Linked DNA regions of Bombyx mori. Each later gene encodes a partner of the first gene's protein in a complex. Links are inferred from orthologs where the notes say so. Each region holds a gene or a part of one and is shown in the gene's direction. Other genes may lie near its edges.

Region 1 (4,095 bases):
TCATGCAAACGCTCATTTTACACCAGGGAGAAAATCGTTGCCAAACTAACTATACAACGATTTTCGATGTTTGTGGGATACATCTCACAAGTAGTATAGCAGCTGAGATGCTCAAAAATAAACATTTACAATGCTTACAAAAGGTTACTAAAAATTTGAAAAGAACGTGACAATTTAAAGAAATTAAAAAATATGAGAGCGGCGTACAGATGTGAAAGAAAAAAATATTGATAGAGTAATAGTGATGACATATTTAAACTAAATCCCAATTCTCGAAGTCGTATTTTCGCAGAAGCAGCCTGTCATAACAGCATCATATCATAATGTCGCATTCACTTCGTCGACCACAAAATTATTTTAAGCAGACAGACCCGATATCCTTACTAGGATAATCAGAATTAGGGTTTTTTTTGTTGGGACTATTAGTCTAGTACCCAGTTTTAACAGATCTTCCACAAAATTAGCAAAGCCTAATTCAACTACTGTACAAATTAATAGTTTATTAATGACATGTTGATTTTTAATTGAAACAACACTGTAACACAACAATTTATTTAACCCGCGCTAATCGTACTTTAACGACTAGTTGGCCGTCTTCACTGACATTTTTTTGTTGAAGTATTGTTGAAGTTATCATTATTTTTTCGATCTACTTATGAAATAATTAAGCAGTATAAACGCACTTGTTAACAAAACGCTAGTAAACACGGCCATTGCCAGCTGACTGACAAAACCGGCACATGCGCATTGTAGGCGTGAGGTGATGGTTTGCTTATTAGATATAAAATAATTAATAATTGGGAATTTAATTATTTTTATGAACGAACAATCACCAATAGTCATCGAACAAACGATAACTTATCAAAATTAATTAATCTGAGCGATAAAAATAAAGATATCTAGTAAGAGGTGGCAACTTAAGGGTGATCATTTGTTTAATTAATTATAAATAAATAAAAGACGAACAAACAATTTTTGCATTTGAACATTAACGAACAAACGACGAACAAATAATTAAAAATAAAAATAAACCGAAAATCAAAAAAAGGCGGGCCAAATTTAGTGAGCCCCGCTGAACGTAACTTCTTGGGATCCTCCAAAAAGTCCACTTAAAAAGTCTCAGTAAATAACCACCATTTTACTGAGAGTATATTTCATCTCATATCATTTCATTTCATTTCATACCATGTTTCATATTTATCAAGTTCATTTCATAAAATATTTTTTCAGATAAAAAATATATATAAAAGATTAGGCTGGATGGTATGATACCTTTGCCTTTCCAATTGGAAAAATAAAGGTATGTAAGGTAGGTAGGTATAGAATAATTCTTGTGATTGTGTTTATCAAATACGGTAGCTACATTAAAATTATGAAACTGTTTATGTCCGAAGACAACCTTTGTTCTCAAAACCTTCTCAAATTAATTTCTCATGGCAATGCTATAATTGCGGAAATACTTAGACTCAAAGACCATAATCCAAAAGTTTACTTGTGAGTATTTTAATAGTTTATTATTAATAATGTAGAGATTCCTTGATGAGCTCGTGGCCCATATATAGTAGAACGACCGTTTCTCTATTCAATACGAAACACACAGTTGCTTTATGGCATAATAACATATAGGTAGGATGGTGATTCCTACTCGTCTTAACACCAGTAATTGGTAGGTACGTAATACTTGTGTTAAAATAATTGTCGTTGTCTATCAAATTGTTCAAAGATTAGGCCTATTTTCAAAATGAATTTATTAGGCAATGGAATCTTGCAATCTACACATGTAATGTAATGTTATATATCGAGGGGTGGTAGGCTATACGCGATTTTTATCTTATAACAATTCAATATTTTTAAACAAACTTCAATTATGTTTACAACATTCAAATATCTGAAGAAGTTTTTTTACTTGATGTTTTTTCCAAATTTCAAACTATAAATGAGTCGTCTATTATCAAAGGTGGCAATCTGTGCATTTGGACAAAAAAATGTTATTGATATATCAATACAGATTGATTTGAATATAATCGTCTCCTTCAAAGAATATGGTTCAAAACCTGCATTAAATAAACTCAAATAGCTCTCCTATAAAATTTCAAAGATGTCGCTTAAACAAATAAGCCTTTCACCCCTTTATATAATATTTGAGTCGACTATTATCAAAGCCGGCAATGTGACTTTTGGACAATTATTGGTAAATCAGAAAAACGAATTATTGACTTTGTATTCTATTGGCAGTCACAAAACTCTTCTGAACGACATCTTAGATAAATAACAGGTTAAGTATTAACCTTTATTTAATGCAGGTTTTGAACCGTATTCTTTGAAGGAGACGATTATATTCAAATCAATCTGTATTGACATATCAATAACATTTTTTTGTCCAAATGCACAGATTGCTACCTTTGATAATAGACGACTCATTTATAAGACTTATTTAAAATGTTTCTTTGTTTTGAAACCATTTCTTTCCCTGGCTATTACAGATTGGAAAGTAGAGAAATACAACAAAAGTACCAAGATGTGATATTGGATTTCAGTTATTTTAGAATATCTGATGCCCATGAAGCTAAGATTAATGTGAATTCTGTAAGTATTATTCAAAGAAATCATTATATATTTTTCAAGATAAAAAAGCAGACTTTTGTCCTTTGTGTGAGGCTCAATGTACTATTTTTAATCAAATATACAATAAGAGCCTGCTTAACCCTTTTTAGGTTTGAGTAACACTCATTTATTTGAATTGTGGAATTCCCTGAAATTCCACATAGCATTAGGCTTCTCTAAGCTCTACTTTAATGAAACATATGCCCAGCATTAAGCAGAATCGTACTGTTAATAAGTAAAAATGTGATCAGGTAGTAGCAATTGACTATTTTTATTTAAAGTAAACGTAATAAGTTAAGGATAATTGTTAAATTGTTAAATTATTTCCTTGCTGAAAGATACTGTTTTCAGAAACTGCAAGATTTAGATGATGATTTAAAGGAAAACTATCTGGAAATAATTACACGTTTTTATTTTCTATTTGAAAACATATATCAATATATTATTGATCTGAATGTATTCATAGATCAATTGCAAGATGAAGCGTTCATCCAACAAAACATGGAAACTGTTATCAAAGACATTGAAGGAAAACAACTATTGGTAAGTCATATTATTAGTTTTGATATAAAGTATGTGGTTCTTAAACACAAAACTACACAAATCAATCTCATCTGTTTTTGAACTGGCCTCATTTAATGAACTGGGATTTAATATATTTAAACAGATTGTCAATTCCTTTATTTATTGACATTTGGCCTACCTTCTAACTCTCCATCCATCCATCTTGCAAAATATGGAAATAAAAAATGCATAACACCAATTTTAAGGGTGACTGAGTGATGTGGCATAGCACACAAGCACCAGAATAGACCCTAAGCGGTGGATTTTAGAATCAACTTATGTTCCTGAAGACAATTGTGTAACTCATGTAACAAAATAACTTCAAGGATCAAATTTTCAAGCAAACATATGTTTAAGCTTTGTTAGCATACATTGACGCCTGAATCTGAAATAAATCCAAAATTTTTTCTTCTGCTTTCCCAGTATGCTTTCAGAAACCAAATGAAAGCTGTATCTTGTGTACATTCGGACCTCTGAATAAAGATATACTACGTAAACATTTATTTATTTCGCGTGTGTTGACCACGAGGAGGTTTTGAAGTCGTCGTGGCCTAAAGTATAAGACGTCCGGTGCATTCGTATCTAGCGATGCACCGGTGTTCGAATCCCGCAGGCGGGTACCAATTTTTCTAATGAAATACGTACTTGACAAATGTTCACGATTGACTTCCACGGTGAAGGAATAACATCGTGTAATAAAAATGAAACCCGCAAAATTATAATTTGCGTAATTACTGGTGGTAGGACCTCTTGTGAGTCCGCACGGGTAGGTACAACCGCCCCGCCTATTTCTGCCGTGAAGCAGTAATGCGTTTCGGTTTGAAGGGTGGGGCAGCCGTTGTAACTATACTAAGACCTTGGAACTTGTATCTCAAGGTGTGTGGCGCATTTATGTTGTAGATGTCTATGGGCTCCAGTAACCACTTA
Region 2 (3,780 bases), on another chromosome or scaffold:
AGCATACATGTTCAAGAAACAACGAAAAAAAAACATTTTTATATAAATCTCTCAGCGGTGACTGCGCATTTTGAAGCAGACGAGAATATAACCCACATTTGTGAAGTGTGGTCGTTCAGACCAGCAATACCAAAATGATTATTGAATTTCTTTCTCTAGATGTCAAAGCTAAAGCGATATGAATCTTTGTTGTAAAGGAAATGGTCCAAGAATTAAAAAAAGTAAGGTTATCATAATACTTACAGCTTCTCTTACTCCAGGATCGTCATATCCTTGGTCTATATATGGTAATGCATCTACGACAACTTCTCCTGCCATTTTCTACAAAATTTATAACTCCCTTTACTACGAATGGGTACTGTGATTTATCACTTTATATTAAAGTTTTAACGCTGTTCTTTGTTTATTTGATTTTAGTTGTGTCACTTGTGTGACATTCTTCGTTTGAGCTAGTTTTAAGCCTAAAATGAACAGGCAAAAGAAATATAGTCCATATAGCTAAATCTTTTGAATTCCTCGATATTCAATAAATTGATATTAAATTAATATTATATTATAAAATGGAATTTAATGAAAGAAGAACACATCGAGTAGATATTAGATGAGTTGATAATGAAACAATGGTGCTTACTGAGAGATCAACGAACTTATTTTGAAAATATTCTCGAGTGGCAGCCACACACGACGCAGCTTAGATAGACTTTCGACGAGGTGAACTGACGTCCTACTGAAAGTCGCAGGAATCTAATAAATACGGTCGCTGCACGTCTAGGAGTGGATGATTTGTGTGAACACGTCCAATGTTTGTTTGATTTTTTAAAACTTGTGCCATTTCACATGTATTCAGTGATTAAAAAGCTTTCATTACTACAAAATTAGACATTTTATTACAGATACATTCGCGAAGCAGTTGCCCTTAGCTGTTAGATCTCCTACGGAGTCGTGGCCAGGTCAGGCCTTCGGTACTTTGGAGGATTGGCTTGTGCGGCTTTTCGAAGCCTGCCTTGAGCCCGGACGGAAATCGGACAGATTCATCCTTCTGAGGAAAGAGGAGCTCCTCTAGGAGTCATCCGTGGTGTACCACCACATCGTGTTGCTGGACGAAACTAGAAAATTGTTGGAGCAAGTCGTGGATGCGTCATCTGCCCCATCCCCAGGACGGGTTCCAATCGGTCAGCCGAACAGTACGGCTTCAGAAAGGGCCGGTCTACCATCGACGCAATCATGCGTGTGTGTACCCTCTTTGATGAGACTGTTGCCCGGGGCGAGGTGGCAGTTTCCTTAAAGTCTCAGTAAATAACCATCATTTTACTTAGATTTCACGCCAATTGATTATTGTTTCAAATTAATCAACTCTATTTCATTTTACTTCATATTATCATTTTTCATAAAATACAATGATAACTTAGGCTGTATCGTATGATACTTTTGCCTTTCCAGTTGGAAAAATAGAACTACTACAAATATTGACAGTGGACAGTAGCACTATTGTCAAAGAATAGTGTTATATTGATAAATGTAAATTAATGATAATAATGTCAGACTTAGGTGGTGGTACCGTACCTACTGTACCTACTGAAATATTCCTTTTAATTTGCTTACATACTCTTTTAACGTAAATAAATAGGTACGACTGTCACGGAAGGAAAAAGATTGTTATTGTAAAATAATTAGGTGCTTTTTATATTAAACTTAGTGTAATTAAAACTCGTGGACCTATTAGTCAATGTATTGAAATGTAATTCAATTTGGTTTTTTCAGTAGAACAAAACAAATTCAAGCTTCCAAACCACAAGACAAATTTCTTTTTCGTCTTGTTTATATTCTACTGAAAATGACCATCCAAGAAGATTTAACTCAATCCGAATCCCCACAAACGGATTTAACTAAGGTTTTAAATTTGGAATTATTATTATTTGTTGTAAAATTTAATGCAGTACAAACTTCACGGCCTTGATTATCTTTATAAACTTCCTAATTCTAGAAAACACAATATTTTTTTATAAATGAGAATAATTTATTTTTAATATTTAAAAAACAAATTGCAGGTTGCGGCATTACATCAAAAACGTACATTGGCATTTGTAAATCATTTCCTAACAATAAATGTACAATTTCTGAATAACTTTATGACGAATTGCGAGCAGAAACTGATGCAGTTTGAGAGAAAATTAGAAAAAGTTAATGCTGCCATGGTTTTGTTAGAATCTAAGGTGATTATATTTTTATAAATTATTGTATGTAAACAAAAACGGATATCTAAAATGTTTTTATTTTCTATCATTAGTCATAATAAACCATTTCTGCAAGACCTTCTCTGGAAAGCTGTTGATTGATCTGATAAAGTAAGAGCAGCCTATTGATATATTTGCAATGCATAAAGCTTCAATTGAATTAAAAAAAAAACGGTCTCCTACCAGATTAGAAATTAGACTACTACTAATTTTAAGATATGGCATCATTGCATTTCACCATAATCCTTATTCAGGTTGTGTTTATGCCATTTCTTTAATTGCCCATGTGCCTCAAAAACTTCATTTTAATTGATAGCATACATCAAACCGATACATAAATAGATAAAACTTATTGATTTCAGTTATCTTCAATACCAGAATTAGACATTCCTAAGCAGACAAATACAAGTAATGTTACAGAGACTGAATCTACTGAAAGTCAAAATGAAACAGAACTCCAAGAAGAAAATCTAGAAAGAAAACTAGAAGACCAAGCCCCAGCAGAAATGAAAACTAAACCTGAATATGATAAATTTGTTAAAATGGTTCAAGTAGGAGTGCCATTGCAGGCAGTGAAACTCAAAGTCTCGTTAGAAGGTCTCGATCCTGAAATACTGGAGCAATTAATAAAATAAAATAATATTTTATTATTTACATTATTGTGTTGTTAGCATAGTATGATCAAATAACCATAGTGTGTAAACCATAGTTTACTTTTATAGAACAAACAATAGAACAGTGTATTCTGTGATACCTCTAATCTAATGGGATCATAAGTGTAAAATTAATAAAATAAAATAATATTTTTTTTTTGTTTAATTGTAATCAACGTATAGTTTAGAAAATATTATCTTTTATCTATAAAAATATCATTCTAATTGTTAAAATTGTAATGTTTTTGTTCTTATCGTTTTAAATAATGTAATAGGCTCAAATATTTAAGTAGCATTCCTTAATATTTTTATGAAATGTTGAAAATGTTGTTTTTAATAAAGGATTTTATAATCATGCAAGATTATTGATCACATAGAGGTGGACCTAGAAAAAAATCATTAAATACTTCTGAAAGTTGATATATGCTTACTATTTTAATTAATTTATTTTGTGAAACATGTTGTATGCGATTTATTCCTTTTTTTGCAAATAAATAGTATTCTTATAGGGGTAGTAGGTGTATTGATTTATGAGAGATTTATTTGACGTAAAATTGGCCATGTCAGTTAGATTGTGTACAATCATGCTACAGAGATACTATTATATTATATTCTAGTAACAATAATAGGCACCTATAGGCATCAAATGTTGTACCATCCTAAGTAATTGCAGAAATAGTTCTCTGCCAGCACCCTGATAATAAATAAAAATAAGGCTGGCCATACCATTAATATTTTTATGAGACATATTAATTAATGCTAAGCATGATTTTTTTATTCCTACTCATAGAAGTTATAGTTATAGTATTACCATACGATGTGGATGGTAATAAAGTATAGGTGCAATAAATGGGAGGTTTTAAGGATGCATCTGGTCCAAAGTGGTGACCTTG
Region 3 (3,571 bases), on another chromosome or scaffold:
TAATGCTAACTATAAAGGTATACTAGAATATCCTGGAGAATGGAGTGAGCCAAGTTTTGTAAATTGTACAAGCAAAGAACATGTGACACTAACTCTTATTTTAATGGGAATATTTATGATAATTGGTATTATGTATGGTTTTATTAAATGTTACAAGAAATACCGAAAAATGGAAGATATTAAACCAGTTTTACCAAGTGGACTAGGAGTCCCCGAAAAGGATATTTCGAAATATGCTATTGGTGGTTGGAATCCTACAAACAAGGATGAGAAACCATCTTCAGACGAAATGTTGCTATTACCAAATAGTAGAACCACTGTATCTTCAGAATTGAAACAGAAAGAAAACAATAACAGTGCTTCTAGTGATCACACTGATAGTACAGCTTTATCAGATACATCACATGGGCCTGTAGAAAGACAAATCTCCTCATCTGATGATGGATCTAATTCATCACTACATCTTGAAGTAGAACCTACGAGAACAGCTGACAGTAACATCGATGGCGAATCATGCAATTCCGAAACTGAAACATCACAAATACCGTCACCATTCTTTAATGATAATACTTTCAAGAAAAATCCATGTGGCTATGTGCAACAATCTGTAGTGAGTCCTAATACAGGATATGTTCAAAGTGTTCAAGCAGGCGTTACAAACCCACCACAACCCTCATCACTCAGTGCCAGCTCTAGTTATGTAATGGCAGCTCTGTCTCCACCTATATTTACGACACGTGTTGCTCAACCTTGCGTAACGAGTTCACAATCAGCAGGAGGCTATGTGCACCCTGAAGGTGCTCAAACTATATCAGCAATGAATTTCCCGAAATTGGGGCAGACAACGAACAAACTGTTTGGTCCTGAAAGCTTGCCAACAATGCAAACCTTGCCACCAGCGAAACACACTGCAGACAGCAGCTACATTCAACTGCAATCTCTAGATTCCTTGCCCAGACACAAACATCCTGCCCGAAGTACAGTGCCATTAAAGACGCCAGCGTCTACCGGCTACGTCCGCCAAGGTGACGCTGTTATTAATAAGCACCTGAATAATATGCTATCAGGTGTTCATTGTGGCGAAGAATCGGCTATTTTGGATCCTGCAATGTCGCCTGACGCGTACTGCAGATTTTCATGGAGTACCGATCCAGCCAATGACAACATTCATTCGTTACTCGCCGATTCGCCTAGATTAAATTCATCGAAAAACGGAGTCAATCATTAGTGATATATATATATATTTAATTTAGTAACCAAGATGTAAATAATTGACTTTAGGAGCTTTATAACGTGCTATAAAAATTGGACATAATATTATTTTACATTTGGGAATGAATGTGTCTAGTGATAATTCTTGTGCCTTATTAATTTATTTTAGGTGATCATAGGAAGCTTTATAGGTAAGAGTCATATGTTTAAAAACAGGAGAATTTAAAGCGGTTTTAACAGAATCTTATGGACTAATTGGTTTGTTACAGATCTTGATATAAAGTATTCGCTAAACAAAGATTAATTATGGAAGGTATTTACAAAATTAATCTTGTGCCAAGCGACTTGAGCACTGAAGAAGCCATCCTTCAGATTGCTGACACTATTGATAATCTCAATGGGATAGTGGAAGACGTGTTCTCTCGCTTAACGCGGCGAATCAAGCAGAATGTAGATAAAACCGCAAAATTGAATGAACGCATCGAAAACTCTAGGCTTAAAGTTGAAAAACTGACTGGAATGCAGAGAGCCATCAAAGTGTTCTCGAGTGCAAAGTACCCGTCGTCAATAACGCACGAGCATTATCGATCCGTCTTTGATTTGGAAGGCTATCAACATGTGCCTAAAAATGTTAAACTGAGTGCTAAAACTCGGGGGCCATCTGATGATAAAAGAATACAGGTAAGAACGCTTGTCTTTGTCGAAATAATGTTCGTTCAAAATTTCGAGTCATAATTGTTATTGTCATTAATTGATCTCGTAGGAGAAGCTACACTTCTATCATGTTAAAGTTGCGGAACCTAATTCACTCAAGCCCGATGAAGATTTTAGTTTGAACGCTGTTATTGATAACCTGGAAACCATCGGTGAACTTTTAGTATTTAACACCGATGAAAGCCCTTACTTCGGTGTTACCTCTAAAACACCAACCTACAAACCGGTCATCAAGAAATCGAATATTGAAAATAAGAGTCTAATAGAAGCGGCACCTTCGTCTATAATGAAGAAAGACGTCTTGAAGCGCGAAGTAGACGAATACATGTACGCACCTGGGATGGGAATGGTAAGTGAAAGTAGCAAATGTTATTCGGTTGATGGATGCTATGACAAATCGGAGCGTTTTATAACACTATAAAAATTAAACAGGTACCCGAAATGGAGATGCCGTTGGATTTACCGCATCTTCCAGGAATCGCTGAGGACATACAATATACTATCGCGACTGAAGGGTCTATAGCCCCGTCTGTCGTGACGTCACCGGTCACGCCGATCATCGCCATTCCTGAGGTGGAATTACCAGAGTTGCCCGATCTAAAGGAACTACCTGACGTGAAACCAGAGCCCGTGGCTATACCAGATATACCGGACGCTCCTCCGTCACCGGTTCCTGTTAGTGTGCAAGCGTTGCCACCACCGCCGCCCCCGCCACCGCCTCCGCCCCCGCCGCCGCCTATGAAGGAAGTAGAGCTCACACCATCAAAACGGTAAGATTTCTCATATTTGATTAATTTAATCTAGGACAAAAGAACACTTTTGCATACAAATTTCGAGTATTGATGAGGATAATCGTGTACATACTTACCAAACTTATTTTATTTGTTGCGCAACTTTAGGAAATGTTCGACCTCTTTCAAAGTTTTTGCATGATATTGCGGCCCTTCATAAAACTAAAAGCGGGGGCTACAGGACTCTCAGGTTGAGAAACAGTGTACAAGACAATTCTAAAGCAATAAAAACCGTGGAAGCGCAACGTTTTTTGCGTTATTTTACCGTTGATGCTAACAAACCGTGTTGTATTTTAACCTTTGACGGGCCACCGTAATTGTATTAATTACTTACATACACGCGCCATACAACGGATCGATCCATTGAAACTGTGTACACAGTAAACACGACAAAAACATTAAGATTAATTTGAATGTCCATATATTTATCTCTCTCTCTCCTTGACCTTTCGGTCATTTGTGTGAAATCTGATTGGTTATATCATTAATAACAATATTTCTAAAAACTACAAAATTTGACCATGTGTATTATTATAAATCCTGTGATTATTTTTATATAACTAATGAATGCCAATAAAGTTAAACAATCCCAGGTCCAATTTTCCAAGTAAGTAATCGGTTTGCAGTTGGGTTATATTACCTATTTAACGCGGCGGGCTTCGTTGTGTGAGTCTTTTTAAGTCAACCCTACATACGGCCATGAGCTTCTCAAGTTTGCCACTTCTTCTTAGCACTGTGCTCAAAGTCCTTTAGTACCCCAAAGATGGTAGCGTACAAAATAACCTTAGTACGATGAGCCAAGGAATGTTCCGTATTTTTTCTTCAGAATCGTATCTCGAAGGCGCTAATGCAGA
Region 4 (3,571 bases), on another chromosome or scaffold:
TACATGTATCCATTTAAAAATGCAGAAAGATTTAACAAGGGTATAAAGGTGTTGGGACTTTCAGAGGATGGACAGAGTTACTTAGATCTGTTTCGAGATCTTATTAGTCAAATTGGAAACGCCATGGGATATGTTAGGATGATTAGGTCAGGCGGCCGACATTGCTGTTCGGATGCGACTGTTTTCCTGCCAAATCTGGAAGATGTTGTTAATTTCAAAGAACTATGCCAAAAAGAGGCTCTTGGGCCCCAGACTGTTCAATCAGCGGAAATTCTAGATCAGAACACAAACGACCTTATTTCCAACTTTATTCAAGGAACTGAATATTTCAAGCTGCTGGTAGACGTGTTCTCACCCGTTTTCCGAAATCCTAAGAATGTTCATTTGAAGAATTTTTATATTATTGTTCCTCCATTGACACTTAATTTTGTGGAACATCTAATCTTGTCGAAAGATAAAATGTCGAAAAAGAATAAAATAGGAGCTGCTTTTACTGATGATGGTTTTGCTATGGGAATTGCTTACATACTGAAATTACTAGATCAGGTAATGTTAACAATTTCATCTGCTTATGAGTTATAGCAACACTCATGACGATCACTCTTCATGTCCCCATTCGATTCATCCATATATACCAACCTTACCTTATGTTACAACACATTTGTCTATGTAAAAGAAATTAAAAGAATTAAAATTTTCTAATGTAAATCTAAATCGCAAAACTAAGCGCGCTAAATTTATCACTCTATGTAATTAACATTAATAATTATTAATGAGAATGACATAATGTGAGCTAGCACGAGGTTTTCTCGATGAGAAGAGTTCATATGCAATGTAGCCCACAGACACAAATCGAACACTGAGTTTCTCGGCGGGTTGCAATTCCGATTTAGGAAAGCACTGCTAGAAACAAATCTGAGACAAAAACAATTGTTACCGCTTCAGTATAATATGGATCAGACCGAAATCACTTTCCATCGTGGGTGCAAAAGGATTGTCAGTCTTTCATAACAAAAAAAAATAGTTTTCCTTCTCAAGTACATATTAATATTGAACCTATTTTTTTTAGGATTCTAATTTTGAATCTCTACACTGGTTTGAATCAGTATGGAAACACATTGATGACGAAAGAAAGTTACTAGAAGAACAGAAAAACAAAGGAACCATTCAATTACAACAAGCCTTAGCATTGACCGAGAAGAAAATAAAAACATTAGAAGAAGAGTACAAACTCCTCTATTACAGTCTTACAAGTGCCAGAATATTTTTTCGTTAAATTATTTAAAGTCGGCGATGAGTGTTGAAGTCTACTCTATTTAAACTATTAATAGGCATATGCTGGGTTAAGTCCGGACGAAATCGTAAGCACTATAGCTGAGACGGCTTACCTGAAGCGTTCGTTTGGAGATCCACGCTGCACCATCTTGACAATAGGGATTCAAACAAATGTTGCTGATTTTGATTGAAAAGTGTTGTCATTCTTGTTCAATTTAAAAATCAACAAATGAACTCTTATAAAAAAAGCTACGGAAATATTTATCTAATATAATAACATATTGAGTTTAATAAGGACCAAAAAAAACATTATTTCTTGAAGGTATTTTCGGTTAATAAATAATAATTTAATTAAGTAACAGTGACTCAACGATTTCTGTTACCCCTTTCGTTCAGGCTATTCTAATTTCTATATATATATATTTATTGCTTTGTTGGATGGACGAGCTCACAGCCCACCTGATGTTAAGTGGTTACTGGAGCCCATGGACATCTACAACGTAAATGCGCCACCCACCTCGAGATATAAGTTCTAAGGTCTCAGTATAGTTACAACGGCTGCCCCACCCTTTGAACCGATATATTTGTAATGTCATGAGGTAAACTCTAATGAGATATTATTATCTTACACTGTAATTGTAGAGTAGAAGGAGGTGTTTAATACATGGACCACTGTGGTGCGTCATTTATGGTTTACGTCATCACGTTACAATAGCAAAATTTCAAAATATATAAAGAAATTCCAAAAAGTATTGCACTCACATTTTATAATGATCATCTTTAAATGCTTTTAGATTGTTTTTTGTCACATACCGCAAATATTAATCTAATATATCTGAATTGTAAAATAATTATATTTTATCAATTTATTGCGACCTACTTGTTATATTTCGAACAGTGTTTGGCACCGCAGTAAAAAGTTTAGTTGCAAAGCAACAGAGCTGTCATTTATATTTTTATAATTTTTAAATTTTGTTTCTAAAGTCATTATGGAATAAACTGTCAGCCATGAAAGTCGCATCATAATTTTATTTTATTGTAAAAATCTTCCTCCTCACAAATATAAATATCTAAATAAGAAACCGTCCGCTACATGGTCCATCGAGCCGAGATACCCAGGAAATAAGGGAAGTGATCAAAGTTTGATATTCAGGACATAATTTAGTGATGTGTAACCCATTACTCTGTTTTTTGTTTAGATTATTTATATTTATCATATTACAAGCTGGGTTAACTATGTGGTTTGTTTAATGTGTTTTTGTTGGCATTTTTTTGGTAATAGTCTATGTCTCTCACACTTGTAAAATTATTATTTAATTATTAATTATAGGTGCGTAGATAAGTGTGACTGTATAGTTCATTTTAGTTGTCATTATAGCTCAATTTTTCAATTATAACTTCTATCAATGCCAGATTAACTAGCCCGCTTCTGCCCAAATACTTCCAAAATGAGTGAGAAAGATCAAAAAGAGCTAGTTAAAAAACGAGCTAGTCTAAAAGGCCGATTGACTACATTCCGAAAGTACATCGAGGAATTGAGCGGTACGTTGAATCAGCAACAAGTAAATGAATTGCAATTAAGAATTGGTAAGATCGAATTATTATTTGAACAATATGACGTAGTACAAACTAAAATAGAATGCCTCGCTGACGATTTCAGCTCGCAAAGCACAGAGAGAGAAGATTTCGAATCGATTTATTACAAATCCCTTTCACAGGCTCAGGAGATTCTTTCTCGTAATTCTAAATTGTTACAAACCGATGCGCATAGTTTTGAGAGTTGTTCTCATGTGAGCAATCATCACCTGGTTAAATTACCTACCATTAACCTACCCAAATTTAATGGTTCATATAACAACTGGTTGGAATTCCATGACACCTTCAGTAGTCTTATACATTCGAACGAGGCGATAGGAGAAATTAATAAATTCCACTACCTCAGGGCCTCGCTAGAAGGCTCTGCTGCTGTACTACTTCAGGAGATTCAGTTCTCTGCCAGCAACTATTCTGTGGCGTGGAAGCTGTTATGTGAGAGGTACGATAATAAGCGCCTATTAATTCAAACACATGTTAATAATTTATTTAATATAGACGCAATAAAGAGTGAATCTTCGTTTAATTTAAGACGTTTCATAGATCAGCTGAATAAAAGCCTGAGAGCTTTAGAGTCGCTAGGCGAACCGACTGATCATTGGGACACTCTTCTCATCCACATGATGAGTCGTAAAATCGAACAGAAGACGCTGCGTGAATGGGAAGAGTGCAAAGGTCGTCTTGATAAAGAAAAGCCCATTTC

The links.
Region 2: WASH complex subunit 5 (region 1) and WASH complex subunit 3 share a complex: the UniProt entries of both Homo sapiens proteins name them as parts of the WASH core complex. The link is inferred for Bombyx mori from reciprocal best matches to the Homo sapiens genes WASHC5 and WASHC3.
Region 3: WASH complex subunit 5 (region 1) and WASH complex subunit 1 share a complex: the UniProt entries of both Homo sapiens proteins name them as parts of the WASH core complex. The link is inferred for Bombyx mori from reciprocal best matches to the Homo sapiens genes WASHC5 and WASHC1.
Region 4: WASH complex subunit 5 (region 1) and WASH complex subunit 4 share a complex: the UniProt entries of both Homo sapiens proteins name them as parts of the WASH core complex. The link is inferred for Bombyx mori from reciprocal best matches to the Homo sapiens genes WASHC5 and WASHC4.

Annotation. Positions count from the first base shown.
Region 1 is NC_085117.1:11,760,606-11,764,700, forward strand, and holds the start of WASH complex subunit 5, read left to right. Parts: upstream 1-1,290; 5' UTR 1,291-1,372; coding exon 1,373-1,494; intron 1,495-2,477; exon of another isoform or gene 2,478-2,483; coding exon 2,484-2,586; intron 2,587-2,955; coding exon 2,956-3,147; intron 3,148-4,095. UniProt on the Homo sapiens protein: Acts as a component of the WASH core complex that functions as a nucleation-promoting factor (NPF) at the surface of endosomes, where it recruits and activates the Arp2/3 complex to induce actin polymerization, playing a key role in the fission of tubules that serve as transport intermediates during endosome sorting.
Region 2 is NC_085118.1:943,084-946,863, forward strand, and holds WASH complex subunit 3, read left to right. Parts: upstream 1-1,478; 5' UTR 1,479-1,627; exon of another isoform or gene 1,628-1,674; intron 1,675-1,761; 5' UTR 1,762-1,834; coding exon 1,835-1,891; intron 1,892-2,048; coding exon 2,049-2,213; intron 2,214-2,596; coding exon 2,597-2,869; 3' UTR 2,870-3,242; downstream 3,243-3,780. Other genes in the region: pre-mRNA-splicing factor SPF27, read right to left, coding at 244-318. UniProt on the Homo sapiens protein: Acts as a component of the WASH core complex that functions as a nucleation-promoting factor (NPF) at the surface of endosomes, where it recruits and activates the Arp2/3 complex to induce actin polymerization, playing a key role in the fission of tubules that serve as transport intermediates during endosome sorting.
Region 3 is NC_085123.1:3,001,292-3,004,862, reverse strand, and holds part of WASH complex subunit 1, read left to right. Parts: exon of another isoform or gene 1-1,403; intron 1,404-1,481; 5' UTR 1,482-1,518; coding exon 1,519-1,893; intron 1,894-1,975; coding exon 1,976-2,275; intron 2,276-2,358; coding exon 2,359-2,696; intron 2,697-3,571. UniProt on the Homo sapiens protein: Acts as a component of the WASH core complex that functions as a nucleation-promoting factor (NPF) at the surface of endosomes, where it recruits and activates the Arp2/3 complex to induce actin polymerization, playing a key role in the fission of tubules that serve as transport intermediates during endosome sorting.
Region 4 is NC_085118.1:10,736,406-10,739,976, reverse strand, and holds part of WASH complex subunit 4, read left to right. Parts: coding exon 1-546; intron 547-1,069; coding exon 1,070-1,276; 3' UTR 1,277-3,571. UniProt on the Homo sapiens protein: Acts as a component of the WASH core complex that functions as a nucleation-promoting factor (NPF) at the surface of endosomes, where it recruits and activates the Arp2/3 complex to induce actin polymerization, playing a key role in the fission of tubules that serve as transport intermediates during endosome sorting.